Ovis aries: one gene and its partners. The protein of the gene in region 1 binds, or shares a complex with, the protein of each later gene. Links are inferred from orthologs where the notes say so. Each region holds a gene or a part of one and is shown on either strand. Other genes may lie near its edges. The genes, in order: PLXNB1, ARHGEF12 and SEMA4D.

What was found.
Region 2: the proteins of PLXNB1 (region 1) and ARHGEF12 are in contact, whole or in part, in an NMR structure (PDB 2OS6), measured with the Homo sapiens proteins. The link is inferred for Ovis aries from reciprocal best matches to the Homo sapiens genes PLXNB1 and ARHGEF12. Residues at the interface, in NP_001123554.1 of Homo sapiens: Glu2129, Lys2131, Val2132, Thr2133, Asp2134, Leu2135; in NP_056128.1 of Homo sapiens: Phe82, Gly83, Leu84, Thr85, Val86, Ser87, Gly88, Asp89, His127, Val131, Lys135.
Region 3: the proteins of PLXNB1 (region 1) and SEMA4D are in contact, whole or in part, in a crystal structure (PDB 3OL2), measured with the Homo sapiens proteins. The link is inferred for Ovis aries from reciprocal best matches to the Homo sapiens genes PLXNB1 and SEMA4D. Residues at the interface, in NP_001123554.1 of Homo sapiens: Leu80, Pro81, Pro82, Glu87, Arg136, Pro137, Gly138, Asp139, Thr140, Tyr142, Gly178, Glu202, Lys205, Ala207, Gly209, Arg210, Ser212, Glu213, Arg235, Arg242, Asp359, Val360, Asn361, Ser362, Leu367, Pro368, Thr371, Tyr375, Ser379, Asp380; in NP_001358123.1 of Homo sapiens: Glu99, Lys100, Gly101, Phe158, Tyr179, Phe181, Leu182, Gly183, Ser184, Arg198, Tyr201, Ile203, Glu208, Val240, Leu264, Arg265, Thr266, Leu267, Gln268, Lys270, Thr347, Gln350, Ser351, His352, Thr353, Asp388, Gln392, Lys395.

The regions. Positions count from the first base shown.
Region 1 is NC_056072.1:51,461,310-51,468,178, forward strand, and holds the start of PLXNB1 (plexin-B1), read left to right. Parts: upstream 1-2,259; 5' UTR 2,260-2,330; exon of another isoform or gene 2,331-2,378; intron 2,379-2,938; exon of another isoform or gene 2,939-3,025; intron 3,026-3,045; exon of another isoform or gene 3,046-3,184; intron 3,185-6,037; 5' UTR 6,038-6,817; exon of another isoform or gene 6,818-6,869. UniProt on the Homo sapiens protein: Receptor for SEMA4D. Plays a role in GABAergic synapse development. Mediates SEMA4A- and SEMA4D-dependent inhibitory synapse development. Plays a role in RHOA activation and subsequent changes of the actin cytoskeleton.
Region 2 is NC_056068.1:30,791,203-30,797,590, reverse strand, and holds part of ARHGEF12 (rho guanine nucleotide exchange factor 12), read right to left. Parts: intron 6,134-6,388; coding exon 6,047-6,133; intron 5,923-6,046; coding exon 5,843-5,922; intron 5,547-5,842; coding exon 5,313-5,546; intron 3,120-5,312; coding exon 2,649-3,119; intron 1,460-2,648; coding exon 1,143-1,459; intron 20-1,142; coding exon 1-19. UniProt on the Homo sapiens protein: May play a role in the regulation of RhoA GTPase by guanine nucleotide-binding alpha-12 (GNA12) and alpha-13 (GNA13). Acts as guanine nucleotide exchange factor (GEF) for RhoA GTPase and may act as GTPase-activating protein (GAP) for GNA12 and GNA13.
Region 3 is NC_056055.1:24,276,064-24,282,934, forward strand, and holds the start of SEMA4D (semaphorin-4D), read right to left. Parts: upstream 4,158-6,871; 5' UTR 4,009-4,157; intron 1-4,008. UniProt on the Homo sapiens protein: Cell surface receptor for PLXNB1 and PLXNB2 that plays an important role in cell-cell signaling. Regulates GABAergic synapse development. Promotes the development of inhibitory synapses in a PLXNB1-dependent manner.

The DNA of each region.
Region 1 (6,869 bases):
TCCTTTGCTTTTTACACTAATTGACATTAACTAGCAAATATTTCTTCTTGCCTGGAGAATCCCAGGGATGGGGGAGCCTGGTGGGCTGCTGTCTGTGGGGTTGCACAGAGTCGGAAACGACTGAAGCGACTTAGCAGCAGCAGCAAATATTTGTGCTCACGTCTTTCAATTAAAACGTCTTTCATTTTTCTTATTTAAAGTAATGTATGTGAGACTGAGTTTTGTCCATTGAACATTCAGATTTGGAACTCGAGGGTAGGGCCTGAAAGTAAGATAATCGCCCCCTATAGTTCCTCTCTCATCTCTTGATCCGGCCCTTGGTTCAAGACCATTTTTGATACACTGGTCCCCCCCTACCCCGCCCCAGGCCTTGATTTTCATTTTGGATTTCCTGGCCTGTCCTCCACTTGTCCAACCCACCTGTGTCGGATGGCCCATGATTTCCAGTAAATAAAACTTGGCTTGGTGGTGACCATGGTAACAGCCTGTTTTGGATCACTTGCTGTGCCATGTTGGAGAGAACTTCCTGGTTCTAACACTGGAGGATTGATCGGAGGAGAGCAGGAACAAGGATTGGGGGAATGGTTGGTAAATACTGCCGGGGACAGAATTACAGGGATTGGCGACCAATCTGGTTCCCTGCTGGAGTGCCACTTAGGCAGGGTGTCATCTCACACACAGCCTAGGGATGGCCTTTCCAGCCTTGGGCAGAGCTCAGCCCACCAGCAGTGTGAGCAGTGAGGCAGTGATGGGGAGGGACCTCTCAGAGGTGGGAGGTACAGTTGGGGGGCATGGAGGCGTACTGCACTGAGAACCCTTGACCTCTTCCTTCTCAGTGGAGAACAGCAGCCTTTGACCTCCTGGGTCAAATGGCCATGGGTGGCCTTGTGTGTCCTTGAGTAAACAGCAGCGAGGAGGTGCTCTGCTTGCACTGTGGGTCTGAAGAACCCACCCTCCTTTCAGGACCCAATGAGGTGGGTCAGCAGGTTGAGTAGAGCTGATGCACAGCAGAGGCATGTGGATGCAGAAATGCTTCCATGAGATCCCGCCCTTCTTGGGAGCCTGTGCTCAGCCCTGGCCAGTGGCCCCATGGGTACAGCGAACCTCCGATCGTCTGGTCACTCCATCCGTGGCCTTCTTTTCTTTTTGTAATGATTCCTTCGGAGGGTGTGGGATGAAATGACCTCTATACTTGGGATGTTCATCCTCCTGGTGGGGTAGGAGATACCATATCTGTCTATAGATGAGGGGTGTTGTGGGGTTTGGAAATCCTAGGTCCTAAACCTAGGTAGGTGAGGTGGGTCCTAAAGGGTGTGCACTTGAGTGAATGGGTCTGGGGAGGGGAGGGGTCCAGGTACTTGGAAGGGCCACCCAACACCCCCAACAAGCTGCACAGAAAGGCAAGGCAAAGGTGGCTGAGGGCCTTGGGGCACACCAGCTTGAATGAGGTGGTGATTGGTGTGGAGCATAAGTTTAGAGAATGACGTGGGGGACCCAGAAGGCAAGATAGCACCTGGGGTCTGTGAAATCCAGAGACAGAACTGGCACAGACAGGGTGCTGAACCCTGGACCCAGATATTGGAAGATTGGTTGGAGGTCCGGGGAGCAAGCCGAGGTGCTGGTGAGGGACAACTTGGAAGGCAGAGTCCTGTGAGAGTGAAGGCACACTGATGGGTGGAAGGTGGGAAGAGGGTGCCTGAAGTTTAGCTCTTTACACAGCAGCCAGTGTGGATGATGTAAACCTGATTGAGGTCCCCCTCAAGCCTTGCAGAGGCCCTGGGAGCTTTCAGGGTGTGTGACCAATTTTGCCTCCCAGGCGGCTGTCCCAGTGGCTGAGAGCCAAAACCCTGCGGAAGTCCTAATAGGATGGACCAAGTGCTGGCTCCTGAGTTTGCAGGGAGCCAAGCCTGAAGGGCCCTGCAGAGGGCACACCTGGGCCTCAGGAGAGAACCCAGGTGTGCCTTTGGAAGGGTGACGTATTTACCGGTGAGGGAGTCTAGACTTGCCCACGGCTTCTCAGCTTGGGGCGGGTCCAGGTACAGGTTTGGGAGGAAATGCGCCCTAGCTTGTGCACGTTTGCAGCGGTGGGCCCAACTCTCCCAGCCCGGCTAGGTGTGGCATCACCTCCACTTGACGGTGAGCAAACAAGCATGTGTGTTTAGGGGGCAGGGGTCAGGTTTCTTGGCTCAGTGATGGCGCAAACCCAGGCCCAACCCCAAAGCCAGCGCTCTTCCCGCACAGCCAGAGGTGGGGGCCGGAAGGAGAGCTTGGCCGTTTGAGAGTCCCAGGAGTAGGACCGGTGGGCAGAAACCAGGCGCCCCGGAGTTCAGGTAAAGAAAGTTGGAGGAGGATGGCCACAGGAGCCAGGTACTGGGCAGGTAAGAGGGAGCTCGGGGGCCCCGGAGAGCGGGGGAGGTGGTTGGCGGGGCAGGTGAGGGGCGTGAGTCCCACCGGGCGCTGGCAGGCAGGCAGGCGGAGGTCCGGGCGAAGCACCACCACACGTCGGGGTGCAGAGCGCGACCCCCAGCCCCCAGCCCCCGCCGTCCGGCCCCTCCCGTGCCGGAGGGCTCCCAATTTCGGCTCCAGCGAGGCGCGCAGGTGAGGCCCGGCGGGGACTGGGCCGGGTGGGGCAGCAGGTCCCGCGGCTCGGCTCTGCGCGCTCCTCCCGCCGCCATCCGCGTTGCCTTGGCAACCGCCGGGGTGCAGCCCTTCTCCCCTCCCCTGCCCCCACCGTCCGCCCCCTAGCGAGCGAGGGGTCGAGTCCCCCGCCCTCGGCAAGTGCAGAGCCGGGAGGGCTGGAATGCGGGGTCCCGGGCGGCTCGGGGCCGCGCGCCCGGCTCTCCCGGCTGCTTCCGGCCTGGCCTGGGCTGCGGGCGGGGGGAGGGCGGCCCGGCGGGCGCGGGGGGGGGGAAGGAGCGGAGCCGGGCCCGGCCGACGCGGCTTTGTCTCCTTTGTTCCCGGCGGTGGCAGCGCCGCTGCGGGCGGGGCGGGCGGCGGGCGCAGTTTTCCGCCCCTCGGTCTCCGGGTAACAGCTGCGACTCCGCCAGACCCACCTCCGGGAGGTGGCGGAGCGGGGGGGGGGTGGCGAGCAGGGGACGGGGGAGGCCGCCGCGCGCGCAGATCCCGAACCCGGAGCGGCCGGCGCCCGCCTCGGCGCGCTCGTCCCGCGGGGCCCGGCCGGGTGGTGAGTGCGGGGCCCGGGGCCGGGCGGTGGGGCCGGGGCGACGCGTCCCCGGGGTGGACGGGCCTGGAGCCGCGATGCCGCCGGGCCGACGCGGCCCGGGGTGAGTGGTGGGCGGCTTCAATCCTGAGAGTTGGGACCACACTTCTCCGCGCGAAGGGAAACTCTGTCGGCTCCGCCTGTAACGCGATTGGGAGACAGAGGAGGTGGAGCCGCTCCTCCGCGCCCCCTCCTCGCCGCCGCCGCCTCAGCCGGGGACCGGCCGGCCTCTTCCCCGCCCTCCCAGGACCACTGGGGGGGTCCTTGCCCTGGTCGGGGAGGAGGGAGGAGGGTCGGGGAAGAGCAACAGGGAGGTCCAGGCTTCCCCTCCGCAGTAACAGCCCTTCCAGGCGGTACTCGGCGCGACTGACAAAAGGCAGACTGGGATTCCCCCCGCCACGCACCCCCAGAGGGGGAGCCCCCCACCCCGCACCCAGACGGTGGGTGATTGATGAGCGCTCGTTGAGTCCTCACTGGTAAATGGTGCCCCCCACCCCGCCCCTACCCCGGCTCAACACAGACAACAGGGCAGGCACTCTCCACTCTGATGCTGTCAATGAGTAACTTCTGGGTGCACCCTGGGAGCCCAGCGAGAAGGCCATAAGGAAAGGCCGGTTTCACACCAATCCCGGCGACTCCGGTGAAGAGGGCTGGGATAGGAACATTCTCCCAGTTTCAAGGGCAGAGTTTATATGCCCTTTTGGTTGGCCAGGACAGCCCCAGGTCCAGGAGACTGGTTGTTCTTTGCAGGCAGAAGTTAGGCAGCCTTGGGTCCTGCTGAATCGGTCCAGAGTTGGGGGGCCCAGAAGAGCTAGGCTTTGACTGTAGTTGGGGCTTGAGATGTGGAGGGTGGAGGAGAGATCTTATTTGTATAAGTTGGGAACTGGAGGCCCAGCTCCAAAGCACCCTTTTCAGTCTGCTCTGGCCTAGTCATTAATAAAAGTGGGGCTGACAACTGTGTCCTTCGAGAAGCTGAGTGGCTTGGAGTGGGTTGTGGGTTCCGCATCTCCCCTGCTGGCTGAGTTTTATTGGCTGTGAAATGAGGGTTCTTTTTATCATTTGAGGAGCACCTGCTCCGTGCTAACGTCTGTCCCGCTTACTGGGGCCTCTGAATTAGAAGTCACATTCTTTGCCTTTAAGGAATTTCAGGATAGGAGCGTGGAACAGGGAGAAAAGTGGCCTTGGTTGGTGCCTCGCGTGCCAGGCACACACCACATCACGTTGAACGATCAGAGCAATCCTGCCTCCCATTCTCCAGATGGGAAATCTGAGGCTCAGAGACCCCAAGGCAGAGCTGCAATGTACACCAGGGTGGTGGCTGGGGATGCCCACCAGTCACACGCGGTGGGCTTCTCAGGAGCCTGGGGGACAGTGAGGGCTTCTCTGGGAGGTGATGGTTGGGTACCTCATGTAATAGGGAGTGAGCGTGGGGGAGTGTGATGAGCAGTCTGCAGTTCGGCCTGGCAGGAACGAAGAGCATGTGTGGGGGAGCCCTGGCAAGGATCCCGCAGGAGAGCGTGTGGACGGGAGGGCTTGACCTTTATCCTCCGGGCCCCGGGGGGTGCCTCCAAAGATGCTGGAGAGAGGGACATCCTCTGAGGTGGGAGGAGGTGCACTGGAGGGGCCAGAGGCTGTCTGTGACCAAGGTGAAGTGAAATATGTGACCGATAAGGAGAAAAATGTCACCACCCTTCTTTCCTTCCCACCCGTGGTATGTGGGGAAGGGCGAGGGTGGCTCGGCCCCGTGGCAGTGATTGAAGAAGGCTGACACTTTCCCCAGCGGGGGTCAGCCTCCAGCCTTCGATGTGACTTTGCCAGAAGCTGTTTGGGTCCTGCCCATTGGCTTCCTGTGGGCCACTCGACCCAGTTGTGATTTTACATGTAGGGAGTGCCTTGGTGGCTGCCCCTTGAGGGTTGGAGAACTCTGGCATGAAGTCCGCGCTGAGCAAATGTTTGTAATCGAATGGTGGGGCAGACCCTCTGCCCAAGGCGTGTCCCTGGGAGGGAGGCGGTGGGAGGGGCCGAGCAGTAGCTGAGTGTAGCAGCCGGCCTTTGCCCATCCTCAGGCAGACCCCATCTTCCTGGGGGAAGAAACTTTCCCCACTGTGCCTTGGATACAAGGTGGGGGGCTCCTGGGAAGCCTGGCCTTGCCATAGTCCTGGGCTTCTCGCCGGGTTCACGGCTCTCCCTGCCGCCCCCCTCCCCCTGCCCCCTCGGTGGCAAACAGTGGCTGCCTTGTTCCCGCTCCCATAGAGCTGTCCTGTTCTCTGCACACTAAAAATGGAAACCCCCAAGCTATTTTGGGAGCAGTGCCCAGCCAGGCTGTGGCCACAGCTCCTCGCTGGACCTTCCTGCAAGCCTTACGCCCAGCCCTGCTCCCTCTGGGCCAGCCTCAGGAGCACCCAGCTGGGGGGGGCCTCGGCTGGGAGGAGTCAACCTGGACCCTGGGAAGCTGTTGGAGGAGCACTGTGCACCGGCAGACTGGCAGCCGGGTGGCAGGAGGGGCCGGGCCATGTGGCCTGGACACAAACAAGCAGGGAGAACATCTCACAGCTTGGGATGCGCTGCCGGTCCCCAGCGCTTTGCCTACCCTGGTGCTCCAGGCTGGAGACCAGCCAGGTTTTAGCAAGGTGGTGGCATGGTTTCCTGGTCTCCCCAGGCTTCAGGTGGAGTCTGCAGGGAGAGGGTCTGTGAGGAGAGCAGGCCCTCAAGGTATGGGAAGTTTCAGGGGATGTGGGGTACTCATCAGTGACTTCCTCTAGGACGCCCCACCCCTGCCCCCACCCCCTCCACCTCCCACTCTGCTCTGACCTGCAGGAGAGGAAATAGCAAGAGATGATGGCCTGGCTTCCAGAGCCCTCGAGGACTTAGGGCTCGAACCAGGGAAGTGTGTGTGATCTGTCTGTGTGGGGTCTGGATGTGGCTGCTGGTGTGTGTGTCTTGGGTGGGTGGGTGGGTGAGTGTGCCTGTGTGGGGTGTGCTTCCGGGTATGTGTCTCTGGCTTGTATGTACAGGCGGTGGGTGCATGCATCCCGGTGTGTGCTCACGCCCATGTGTCTGGGTGTTGGTGTGTGCATGCAGGGTGGGTGGTGTGTATACTTCTTGGTGTGTCCAAACATGAGGGTGCTCATGTGCTGGTGGCAGCCTGGGGCAAGGCTTGGCCTGGGCCTGTGAGCAGGGCATGTACCTGGGCATCCTGAGGGCAGAGTTTGGGCAGAGGGCAAGGATGGGAGATGCTGAGGGCGGGCTGTAGGGGGGAATAGGACCACAGTGGGGGCCAGACTGGGCCCACCAGCCACGCAGCTCCTCCATAGCTGCCCTTTCCCAGGCTCCGAGGATGCCTGGTTCCGCTGCCCTCCCCCTCCATGGGCTCCGAGGAGGCGTCCCCTGTGGAATGTGTTTGGTGGCCGAGGGCCAGGCTGGGCCCAGCTCCACTAGCAGACTGGGCAGTGGGGAGGGGTACCTTTGTGCTGCCTCCATGGTGGGGGGCCCACGTGCCTACTGCCCAGCCCCCAGCTCCATGCTCTGCTCTCTCCCCGGCTAGGTGGCTCCCGCTCAGGGCATGCCGTTGTCTCCTGATCCAGCCGGCCCTGCCAGGTGAGCCTGGCCTCACACCCAAGTGTGGGACTCCCACCTCTACTCAGGACTC
Region 2 (6,388 bases), on another chromosome or scaffold:
TGTAACTTTCCTCCACCTTCTGTAAAATAAAACCCACAGGTTTTTCATTCAATCATTAAAAAAAAAACCTTTATTTTGAAAATAGGAATGAAGGCTTTTGTATATTACAGGTCTAAGCTGTCAAATTTAACATTAACGTCCTTAAAATTTTTGTTAATAGGAAAAAAAAGAAGTAAATTTCATTTCCTTTTACCTGCTTCTCCCTTGAGTGAATACCTTAAAATGTTCCCATGCAGAAGAAAGTAGAGGAGAGAGCAACTATTAGAAGTGATTATTCCCTCCTGCCCTGGAGTCACCCTTAAAATGATCCCATATGTGGCATGAACTAAGTTAGAGCCAATGTGCCCTCGATGGCCTCTGAGAATCTTACCAGCCGCAGGACATCCCTACATGTAACCCTACAAAGGAAGGAAAACCTATCACAGGAAGGTGAAAGAAAAACTAAGGGAAACCAATCTTTAGCTAAGAGACTAAGAACACTCTGAACTCTGCCCCCAAAACCTCTACTAAGTAATGTCATGACAAAACATCTGGGCTCTGGTACCTATGCCTACAGATGGCAAACTTACAGAGTCCTGTTGTCAGAAAGGACCACACAGGTCAGCTCTGCAGTGATGGCTCACACAGTGACATCTTCAATTGCCCATTTACAGAACCCCTACTCATAGGCAGGTCTTTAGATTACCACTGGAGCCACTGGAGACAGTGTCTCTCTGTCACAGCATCTGGGAAACTATCAACATCACGCTACAATTCACAGATAATTAATAGGTGATGGCAAGTTAAGGCATTTCCCAGCCTAGATTCCTAACTACACAAACTCCACCTATCTCAGCTTATTGCTCACATTTTCTCATGGAGGTCAGCCAATCATCCCAAATGTATTCAGGTCCTTAAACTTTGAAAGCCATACACACACAGTTTATAGAGTACAACTTTTTCTGTTCTTATGATGTGTAACCAGGTAAAACAATGCTGACCTTAGTTTTTCATCCAGGTCTACTCACAGACAATGGTCAGAGACAACACACAAACCTAGACCCTCAGCGAGGTTACTGACATCAGCATGTCGATCATTCTACACTTCCTCTCTGTTAAATGTGTTTCTTATATCCGACTCCTAAGGATGAAGTCCGAGGTACCTTTAAGTGTTCAAGGTCAGCCTCTATTTTACGAATGTACTCCATGATCTGGCTTTGTGAATCAGCACAAGCAGAGGGACTCTGGATCTCAAAACAGGAATCCTCCATAGTTCCCCAGCGCTGCTGGACCAGGAATTCTGGGGTGAATGGTGAAACAGCCCCATCAGAATGAGCATTCTGGGGAGAAGGCTGCTGCTGGTGTCCAGAGTCCAGAGAGGGGATGCCTGCCCCGGGCTGAAGGGGGAACGAGGAAGCAACCTCGTCGTCTGTGGAGCTCTCCTGCACCGGGTCATAGCCATCAAGGATCAGATAGGTTCCTACAGACAGAGACAGGACAGGTTAAAGAGGTTAGTACCACCTCCAACACATCGGAAAATAATGTGGGGTGATGTGCTGACACCTTTAAAAGCTATTGAAAAGTGAAAGTGAAAGTCGCTCAGTCGTGTCTGACTCATTGCAACCCCATGAACTATACAGTCCATAGAATTCTCCAGGTCAGAATACTGGAGTGGGTAGCCTTTTCCTTCTCCAGGGAGTCTTCCAAACCCAGGGATCGAACCTAGGTGGCCCGAATTGCAGGCAAATTCTTTACCAGCTGAGCCACTAGAAAAGCCCAAGAATACTGGAGTGGGTAGCCTATCCCTTCTCTAGCAGAGCTTTCTGACTCAGGAATCGAACTGGGGTCTCCTGCATTGCCAGAGGATTCTTTAACATCTGAAATAGCTTCAAAGCTATTAAAGAGGGGGAAAGGCCATTAAGTTCCAAATTCCAAGTTACATTTTCAGGACATCAGAATTTTCTTACTTCAGATTAAAGCTACACTTAGCAAACACTCCTGGTAATTCCGGAATAACTTCATGTTTGCTAGCATTTTGCAAGTTAAAAGCTGAAAACTACCAAGTCCCTATATGATCTTATGACCACTTTCCCTGTCAAATACCTACCTGGCCTCATCTCTCACCATTTCCTCCCACAGCCTGTGCTCTTTAACCACAGAATGCCTGCTCTGGCCTTGCAGACTGTGTGCTCACCTCCTCTGTTGGAACACTCTACTCCTGGACACCCACACAGCGTCTTCCTTCCCTTCCCTTCCCCTGGGTCTCTGCTCAAGTGCTACCTCATGAGAGGCCTTCTTCCCTGACCACCCTGTCCGTTATCCTTACTGTCTGCGCCCCTCAGTATGACTTATTTTTCTGTATCATCCTTACTATCTGACATCTATTTATTTGGTAACTTATTTACTATTACTCTTTCCCCAAGTGGTGGTGAAGCTTCATGAGAAAAGTGGATTTTTCTGTGTTTTATTCACTGTTACATCTCCCGGGACCTAGGATGGGGTCCAGCATAGAGTAGAGACAGTATTTACTGCATGAAAGAACAGACACTATACACAGACACACAGACACATACATGAGATAACGCTTGGATATCCAAGCAACATCGATTTCAGCACATAGGACAAATAACGACGATCGAAATCAAAGTTTAAATGTGAAAGGAACTTGCCTGAGATGCGCAAATTAACATCCTTCTCTTCCTTTTTAACTGCTCCATCACCTTCTGATGGATTATCATCACTATGTGCTTCACGGGCATCAAAAAAGTGCTCTCCACTCTCATCAAGACCCCCTTCTGGCTCTGAGGGAGGCATCTCTGGGGTCATAATCATGTGGTCCATTACTAAAATGTCACTTGCCTGGCTCTCTTGGAATGCCAGTACTACTGAATCCCGTGGAGCAGAAGATTCAGTTGAAGTCCGTGGACTGTAACAAGTTGAAATGTCACCAGTTCCAGTTCTAAAGGGCATCTGTGCTTCAACAGGATGACAGGCCTTAATATTTTCAGGGTTCTGGGTTCCACTGTCTGCCTGCACCCCCAGAGAGGCTGTCCTGCATCTTGGAAAATGTGGCCAGTCTTCCTGAGTGCTCTTCTCAGTCAAGCCCAGCTGGTGTACCAGCAGCTGCTTCAACAAACCCACTAGAAGATTTAGGAAGTGGGGAGAACACATGCATTCACATAACCTCAGACAGACAGAATTAAATTAGAGGAATTATAATTTCTCTCTTAAAGCCAGTACCTTTTTACTAACATACAATAGAAAACATTAATTTCACACAATCATTTTTTGTTTGGTTTGAAAAATGAAATAAAACACCATCTAGAGAAAATTTAAGATTAAATTAGACAAAAAAAAAAAAAAAAACTGAAGAATTCTCAATGGAGATTTTCCTATTATTCTCCTATTTAAAACTGTTAAATAACCAATACCATGCCTGCCTCCTCTTTTTCTTCCATATAACTGGAATACCACCCCCAAGGTACTTCTTAAAGGGATGTAGAAAAGCTGTATTAACCTAAACAAAAGAATCTAAAAGTTCTGCTTTTTCCAGAAGCCCACACTATTTACATAGGCATTTTTTCTAATTTTATTAGAGACACAGAACATTTATTTTATCATCTATAATAACCCAAAGAATCTCCTTAAATGGTGACAAAGAAAACAAAGCTGGCCTGTAAATTTAATTCCAATGTTTGGTACCATGCATAATTTCAAAGGATAAGGAAATATTTATTCGTTTTTAAAAATGACCTAAGTAACACAGCTTCCTTAGGTTGCTAAAAACAGAACCAATTTAATTTTAAATGGGCCAGTGTATGATGTGAGGCCACTCAATGAGAGGGTCAGTGGAACACTGTTAGTGAAACCATCAGAAATCATTACCACTGTTAACTCAATGAGTCTAGAATAAAGTAAGTCTTAAATGACTGGACCAATTCCCTACTTTCAACTACCTTGATTTCTGTCTTCCCTTTAAATAAAGTCTCCACACGGGTTTGGGTCTTTGACCCTCTGTCTCTCTGTTCTGCAGTCACTCCCTGAGAGATGCTATGAATTCATATGGCTTTGACACTCAGAGCCATCTTTCTCCCCAACCTCCTCCAAAATTCCCGTCTTAAAATTCCAACCTCCTGCTCATCCTTCCTCTTAAACGGCTTGCCATTCATTACTTACATCTCAACATGTTTTAAAATTGAGCCCACAATCTATGGCAAAGGAAAGAAGGAGAAAATAAAGTGTCGCAGTGGGCAGTGGCAGTCCTTTCTAATTTTTATTTCTGACAAGAAAACTAAAATTATCTCTAAATATTCCCTTTCCTTTGTCCTCACATCCAAAGAAGTCAACTGTTTTAAGTATTTGTTGGTTCCTCACTTCATTTTCATTTCTCTAACACCATTCCACCATTCTAGTCCAAACCCATTTAGCCTCAAGCCCAGACCACACCAATCCTCTTTCCATTCAAATCCCTCTGCAGCTCTCGGCCAGAGTATTCTTTTTCATTACGAATACATATACTCCAGCTTAAAAACTTCAAATGGTTCTTTCTCTGCAGCAGCCTTTTCCCCTTCCTCTGGTACACCTGAGACATGTGATGCACTCCTGTCTGTACCAGTGGTTCTCAACCAGGCTGGAAAGGTGGGGGGATAGCTAAGAGAGTGGCAAGGGGCATCCAGTCATGCACGTGTGTGCGTGTGTGTGCGTGTGTGTGCGTGTGTGTGAGAAGAATGGGCTGTGGTGAAGAACACTACAGTATCCACAAGAAAAACAGAAGAATATCTGGAGCTTGAAACAGTCCTCAGAACCCTGTGGTGTGCCGCCCTTCAATCTAGTCTTCAGGGTCCACAACAGCTGGGCTCCACAAAGTGTCCTCCAGCTTTCTAACCTTGCCCCACAGCTCCTTTAGCTTGTGTGGTCTCCCACACAGGCCAGCTGCCCTACCCACCGCGCTCTGAACACCCTCAGAGGTTTAGCCTTTTTGCTTTTGGTCCTACCATTCTTCTTATCTGAATGACTTCTATTTATTCTCCTATTAATAAATACCTATTTTGAGTCTTACCCATTCTTCAAGGCAGTAATCACAGCCCTCTTGTTTTCTAATGCCTCCCTTCCCTGGTCACTCAAACCAGATCAATTCTGACATACCTATAAAGCTTATCTACTTAAGAAGGTAGGGGAAAGTTTTCTGTCATCTTCCAAACTAGACTGCAAGATTCTTGAAGGGAAAATTCATAGTTTATACTTTCTTGACTCTCCCTAAATGGTTGCATAATACATTATAGAACTCTGGTGCTTAATAAGTCTATCTGTGTTAATGTATGAATAGAACTTACAATTCCTTAGTGCATCCAGTGCCCACCGTTCTTCTGAGACAGGCAAGTGTGGATCTGGGATTATGATTTGATAATTCACTCCAACTTCCTTTAGTGTCCCGTCTGCATGCTGCTCCTTTGCAAACTGTCTCTCAGCCACAAAGAGGTCATCTACTTCCGACTTCCCAGAGGTACCCAGCGAATGAGACTGAGGTTTTGATGACATTAAAGGAGACTCTAATCCCAAATCTCTGTCTGTTCAATGGAACAGAGAAAGTAGAATACATCTTAGCAAAACTTTTAATGTGAAGCACCCAGAAAAATATTTGGAAAAAAATAACCGCATAAGCTACAGAGATTGTCCACAAAGTAAAACGCATGCACTTAGTGTGGCATTATGATGGCACACAGAAGGTGCATGAGCTAAGTCTGTTAAAGTGAACAGCAGATGCCAGAACCTGCATAAACCAAAGCAGTTCAGAGTCTCTTCACATTTTATTAACTAACATGTAGACTACTTTCTTCCAGGTTAACTTTGCAAAACAGCTTACCTGGACTCTGCAGACCAGTGACTGAAATGCCATGATGTTCCACTTTTAATTTTGGAGGTTCTTCTTCATCATTGTCTCCTCTACAGAAGAGAAAATAAATAAATAACCTTTTAGCCTCACAAGGTGCCTAAAGATCACTGCAACAAAATGTGAAGACTCATCCATCGTTTTTGGGATGCCACTCAGGAGCAGAGGCACACTCACTCGCACGGTGGCGGCTGGGGCAGCGGGATCGGCTTTGTGGACTGCTCCTTCACGGATGCGGCCATCCGACATATTAGGTCCTGCCAGCTGCACATTTGAAAACAGCACAAAATACACACAGCAGGGAAAGGAAAACGAAACACATTTTAAATATACTCAGACAGCAGAAATAAAAACAATGAACTATACCAGAAACCAAACCAAACCAACCAACAAAAAACCCTATTTCTGCCAGAGGTTATCTTTATTTTGGAGACATACTGTCAAGTAGAGATAATAAAAACGCTATACTTTAAAGAAAAACCTGACAACATTATGGATACACTACCCATTAAAAAACCT
Region 3 (6,871 bases), on another chromosome or scaffold:
CTACATGGAAATAGGTGAGGGATTAAAAGGATAGATTCCCCTTCCTCCTTCCTTCCACACCCTTCTCAACCCTCTGCCAACACCCAAGCACACACAACTCACACGCACACATATATCCTTCCCTCCCATCCCAGTCACCAGCCTGACAGCCACTCTTGCTCGGAGCTGTGTCCCTAGAGTCTGGAGCAGCACCTGCCCTCCTCATCCACCAAGGGCGCTCTATCATCGTCTGCTTGACACACAGCGTGTGTCATTCCAGATGCTTCTACACTTTATTACCTATACATGTGTAAATAGGATCACTCTATGCAGTCTACACTAAAGAGCAATGTTTTCACTTAACTCATCAGCACTGCTTTTAAAGTAAACCTCAACAATTCCATGAAGTGAAGGATCCTATGGCATTTGAGAGGGGGAAATGGAATTCTTAGATCATTAACTATTTTATGATAAGACTTTTAAAGACTAAAGATAAAGACTGAGGAGACTAACAAACCCTCAGGTACCATCACCCAGAGCTAATAACCGTTCAACAGTGGTCAATGCCGCTCCCTCCATCACCCAACCCATCCCCCACCCATGCTAATCTAAAACAGCTCTCGCTTCCTCTGCAGATCACTCCAGCATCTACAGCTAAAGGGTAAAGACTGTGTGAACATAACCACAATACCGTTGTTAAGGAATATAATTATCTTTTAAAATCATTGTTCACTCAACAAACACCCAACTATCTCTTTAAACACCATCATTTTTTAAAGGAATGATTTTTGGCTCAAATGCTGGTTAACTGCACTTCGTTCAAAGCTGCAGTCCCGAGTAACACATAGAAGTGACCTGGGGAAGGGGTGAAGTCTCTACTTTCATAGAGAGCAGCTGAGACTTTTAGACCAAATAAAGGACCCAGTCCTACTGGCGGATCACAGGGCATGCTGGAAGGCAGCTATGGGGGAACGACTCCTGGGCTGCTATGATGCCTGGTCCAGGTACAATACCGCCAGGTAAATGACCATGCACTCAGGAAGGGACAGGCAACTGAAAGTGAGCCACTCCAAGGAGTTGTGATGAGCCAATTTGCTTATCCCAAAGATCACCTTAATTGGTGCACTGAACAATGCCAGCCCAGCTCCAGGCAAGGCCCACTCACGTGCTATCTCCACTTGACTGAATCAGCAGATATTTTCTCCTAATAAATCTCTTGGAGAAGGCAATGGCACCCCACTCCAGTACTCTTGCCTGGAAAATTCCATGGACGGAGGAGCCTGGTGGGCTGCAGTCCATGGGGTCGCAAAGCGTTGGACACGACTGAGCGAATTCACTTTCACTTTTCACTTTCATGCATTGGAGAAGGAAATGGCAACCCACTCCAGTGTTCTTGCCTGGAGAATCCCAGGGACGGGGGAGCCTGGTGGGCTGCTGTCTATGAGGTCACACAGAGTCGGACACGACTGAAGCGACTTAGCAGCAGCAGTAGCAGCAGCAGCAATAAATCTGCACTTCTCTCCATCACCTTTGGACAGCAGGCAGGCTGCAATGTGCACGAGCTGTGCTGAGTCTCCAGTGCAGAGAAGCCTGCCCGACCGGCCCACTCTCGGGTGACGTCCGGAGACATCCCTGAATGGCCAAGAGCCCCAGAGGCACAGGTGGAGCAGGGGAGACTAGACCTGCCAAGCCCCACAAAGGACAGCAGTCTTTCTTCCTGCAGCCACCCTCGACAGTCAGTTGATGGCAAATTCATTTGTGTATTTTTACATGGCCAGCTTCACCCCATGGCCCCCCTGCAGGCCTGGATGGTTAACTTGGTCACTGTTATCACTCCCAGAAGAGACTGGGGATGGGGGCCGGGGGCACAGGGGCACTGGGACACACTACTTGCCACATCACCTTCTCAGTTCTTTTGAACAAACTGTTAGCATGAGGGGAAGGTCACTGTGAATTAAGGAACAATCGGGAAACCAATACACTTATGCAACAGCAGGGGCCTAAAGGGGACGCCTGGTGGTGGGAGGGGACCCGGGGCCCATTTGCCAATCCAGGAGCCCCAGGCTCACCACACAAGGGATCAGGAAGAGGCTCCTGGCCACACCCATTTCCCCCCCACACACCAGAAACAGAACCCAGAGGGAGGGGTGGGAGGCCTGAAACTGTCCATGCTCAGTGTGGGAGAGGCAGGTTCTCTTTGGAAGCACAGAGGACCAATGAAAAAACCATTGATCTCTGCAACACATTATTGATTTCGCTATGTGCTGGCACCAGCGATGGTCCTCCCCCCTCACTCAGAGCCAGCCGTTAGTGTGCGCTCCCGAGACTGGCCTAGACATCCCTGCCTGGTGAGGGGGGAAGCCGCTTGAGATGAAACCTGCCTTGGCTAACCCACAGGGACTGGGTCACGAGTGAATGATGTCATCATGGTCATCTCCCTGGCCCCAGACCCACTGGACAGCTGTGCAGCGCGGCCCTGCACCCCACTCCTGAGCTGAGGTGGATGCACCACCTGCCAGGACCCCAAAGAAGGCTGTCCGAGCACCCCAGTTACCAGCACAGGGGTAACGCTGCATTTTCCAGCAATCATAGAGAGCCAGTACCTCTCGAATGCCAGCTCATGGTCCTATAACATGGCTCAAGAGTAGACCAGGGCTGGGTTGCCTCTCAGTGTCAGCAATTTTTCTTTCTTTATTTGGTTTACCCGCTGTTCATAATACAAACTTTTTTTTTCCCTTTGCAATCTGAAGGTCTAGCCTCTTGGTGGGGAGAGTCTTTGTCCCCAGAAATGCCCCAGTGAATCCCTTCACCATCCCCTCATCCCTGCAGACTTTCCCCCTGGTAGGACTGGTTGCCTGGAGTACTCCGAGCAGGTCTGTTTTATTCTTCTTTATTCTTGCAGACGATGTGCACAGACACCAACCGTTCAAGTGACAATCGTGGCATTATCTCGGCCAGAATCCTGGCCCCAGCACTGACTGAGGCAGCCTGTTTCTGGGACACAGTAAACATTCCCAAAATACAGCGCCCAGGCAGCCAGAAGGCAGGCCCCAGGCCTGGGGCAGGTATGAGCTGACAGGCTACCGATGTCACTTCACCCTTGGAAAGGAAACTTCCGCTCGGTGGCGCCTAGTGGATCTGAACAGACTCAGAATGGGGGGGCCAGCCACTTGGCCACAGTCCATAAGTCCTGGATGTGCTTAACATAAGTGGTGGTTTTCAAATCAAAAGCTGAACAACTTTGCATAGCAAACGCGCTCCAGAAATCAGGGACCCTTGCCCTAGACCACAGGCCTCGTTTTTGGTGAACTGCCCACCTCCAGACGCCCACACAACCCCATCTCCGATACTAAATGAAATAAAACGAAGGGGACCACCACGACCCAACCCTCCTTTCCACCGCCTGCACTGGCAAAACCCCAGTGGATTCAGCCTCCTGCAGTTCACCAGGCGGCTGCAACAGGTGCAGCCCTGAGCTAAGGCTGCTGATTCTCCTTGGCTATTCTAGAATCACGCAGCCAAAACCCAAAAGGAAGCCGAGGCCTGCAACACTCACTGCCAGGGCCCCGACCTGCCCCACCTGTCTGAGTGCGCGGCTCGGGGTCTAGCGCCCCGGGGGCCGCGGCCCCGCCGACAGAAATAGAAGCCGCGGGGCCGGGCCAGGCCTGAATGGCCGGAGTGGGGCGGGGGCCGAGCGGACAGGAGCCCCGGGTCAGGCAGAACACACCGCCCCCGCCCCGGGCCAGGGTCTGCCGCGCGCCCGAGCCCCGAGCGTTGCCGAGCCACCTGCGCGCCGGGACAGGAAGGCAGCCAAGGAGGGGAGGGGTCCTGGGGGGGTCCTAGGACGGGACTCAAGGGTCTGGGGAGAAGTCATGGAGCTCCGGGAAGGGGGCTCCGGGGAGGCCCCGGGGGTCCCGGGAGGAGTCAGGGGGCTTCGGAGCCGAGGCTCCGGCGGCCGATTGGGGGAGGGTCTCGCCGCCCCCGCGCACCTGCACCGCCCGCGCCCGCCCTCTACCCGCCAGCCCTTACCTGGCGCGGCGTGTCCTGGCCGCGCGGCCCCGCGGTGCCGGGCCAGGCGAGCGCGGGCGCAGGAATGGCGGCGGCGGAGGCGGAGGCGACCGGCTCGGAGGCCCGGCGCGGAGGGGCGGCGCGGCCAGGCGACTCGGGGATGCTGCGACGAGGGAGGGCGCGGAGGCCGGCGCGGGAGGGAGGGCGCGGGGCTGCGCTCAGGCCCCTCCTCCGCTCCCCTCCTCCCCTTCCCGCCTCCTCTCGCTTCCCTTCCCCCTCTTCTCCTGCCTCCTCCTCCTCGCCGGCCGGCTCCCCGCCCTACTTCTCATCCCCTACCCGCTCCGTCCCTCCCCTTTTCCCTCCCCTTTCTTCACCTTCCTGCACTCCTCCACTCCCTCCATCTCCACCCACCCCTGCCACCTTCCATCTCCACTCTTTCCCTCTGACCTCTTCCTTCCCCACCTTCCACCTCTTCCCCTAACCCCCAAGCCCCCAAAGGCTAACCTCTGCCCTGGCCAGGCCTCTGCTGGGTCCAACACACGTTCTGATGACCTGTGCAGTTACCCCCTCCTCACCACCTGCTAATGGAGCATTGCCCCTTCTGGGAGCCTGACCTGACCTCACCCTCTCGAGCCTCCACCCTCCTCCAAATCTCCAAGGTTTTGCGAACTCCCAGGTTCTGATGCTGTTCTACTGGGGACCTGACCTGCCCAATGGGTGGAAAAAGCATGTGGGCTCTGAGGACGCTTGCTCCTTTGCTTCTAAGCAAATCTAATTTGGATAAGAACATTTCAAACCAAGCCTTCTGCCACTTCCCCAGGGTGAGGTGGGTAGGTACCAATCCAGGTTTTGCTGCACCCCTTCTGTTTGCCCCCATGCCAACTCTTTGTTAAGTGTTCACCATTTGATCATCCCTGGTGACACACGTTTACACTAACCCACAGGTTTGAGAACTAGGTGCCCTCCGAAGACTGCTCCAAATCCTCTGGCCCTGGAGGAAGAAGCAACAGGCCTGAGAAGGTGGTTGATCTGGCCACTAGGCGTGCTGAGGGACGCTGTCCGGAGAAAGGAATGCAGTTCCCAATGAACCAGCCAGGCTTTCCTTGGGTGTAGTGTAGGAGTCAGGGCTTCTCTGGTAGCTCAGACGGTAAAGCATCTGCCTGCAATGTGGGAGATCCAGGTTTGATCCCTGGGTGGAAAAGATCCTTGGAGAAGGGAATGGCTACCCACTCCAGTATTCTTGCCTGGAGAATCCCATGGACAGAGAAGCCTGGCAGGCTATACTTCATGGGGTCGCAGAGAGTCAAACATGATTGAGCCACGAACTAGCTGGTTAAGAGTCATGGTGCTCTGCCTCCAGTCTTGGCTGTAGACCCCAGGCTGCAGGAACCCTCCCAGCTCACCTGAGGTCACTTTCCTGATGCCCAGGAGCTGCTGGTAACCAGAGTGAGAGTTTTAAAATGAAGCCATTCCTAAATGATCAATAACGGGACTGAGAGCCTCACTCTCTTCAGGGGACTCCTCTCTTTCCATGCTGAGGCTGCCATAGGCACACCTTAGTGCCAGTGTGCCAACACTGTGCCAGCAAAACTAAGATGGCGAAGCTAGTGCAAAGGGTGAAGGTAGGGTGGGCAGGAGTTTACCCCCTCTCCCTCTGTAGGGGGGAAACATGACCTGGAATCTGATAGGCTCCAGTTTGAGTCTTGGCTCTGATGCTTCCAGGTGACCTTGTGAGCCCTGTCTCACCCTCTCTAAGGATTGCAGAGCATGGAGGAGAGAATCTCAGGTAAGGCCACCAGCACCACGTGCCCCACATTCATAGCTGGAGATTTTTACGAGAAAGACACAGGGGAGGTGTACCTTCCAAGCTCTCCACCTGTGGAAGAAGTCTGTGAATCTGTGTTCCCGCATCCTATTTGGATTAAAACCTGATGGGAAGAGATGTTTTAACAGCATCCCAGGCCCCAAGAAGGAACCCATTCTTAAGATGGATAAAAGTAAGTATTGCAAATACAGGGGCAGGGGGCTGTCTTGTGTTCTTTACTAGTCTGACACGTCTAGAATACAGTTCCCTTGCTTGGGATCTAAGGACAGCCACCAGCAGGCCATGGGACGGTAGTTGACACACGTGGAACCTTCAGTCTGGAAGATCAGTGTGCAGAGCACAAGACGGCGGAATCCAAATATTTGCAAAACTGTCTGGGAAGAAGGATTACCCTGTGGGGTTATGAAGGGCAGAACGAGGACAGATGGGTGGAAATTAGACTAGAGAGTCGATTTCGTCCCACTTGTGAATGCTTTCTGGCAGACCTGCCTGCCAGAGGAGCCGGCCACCCCTGGAGGACCATGTCCTACAAGGCCAGTGTCTAGACAGGTTCTGGGGCCACTGCAGGAAATTGCTGGAGGGGGCCTGCAGTAGGGATGACCCCTGGAACCTTTTCCAGCCATTAGATCATTCCACATTGTCTTTAATAAGGTTGCTGCAGCCCTGTTTACTTTGTCTGCAGAGTGGAGGGCGGCTCGGCAAAGAAACTGATCATATGCCTGACCCAGAGTCAATGCTTCCAGCTTCAGCACCTTCAACAATCAATCATAAGCTGCTGTTAGTGTGTTTCCTCATTTGTATAAAGGAGATAAGGGAGGATCCAATGAGATGACAGCATTTTCTCACCACCCAGCACCCAGGAGGGTGGGTCCACACAAAGTAACTCAGTTTGCCTTTTTATTTTTGTCAATGTTTTGTCTTCAATTATGAGACATTTCATCACTACGAACAAAGCTAGTGGAAGTAATGGAATTCCAACTGAGCTATTTCAAATCCTAGAAGATGATGCTGTGACAGTGCTGTACTCAATATGCCAGCAAATTTGGAAAACTCAGCAGT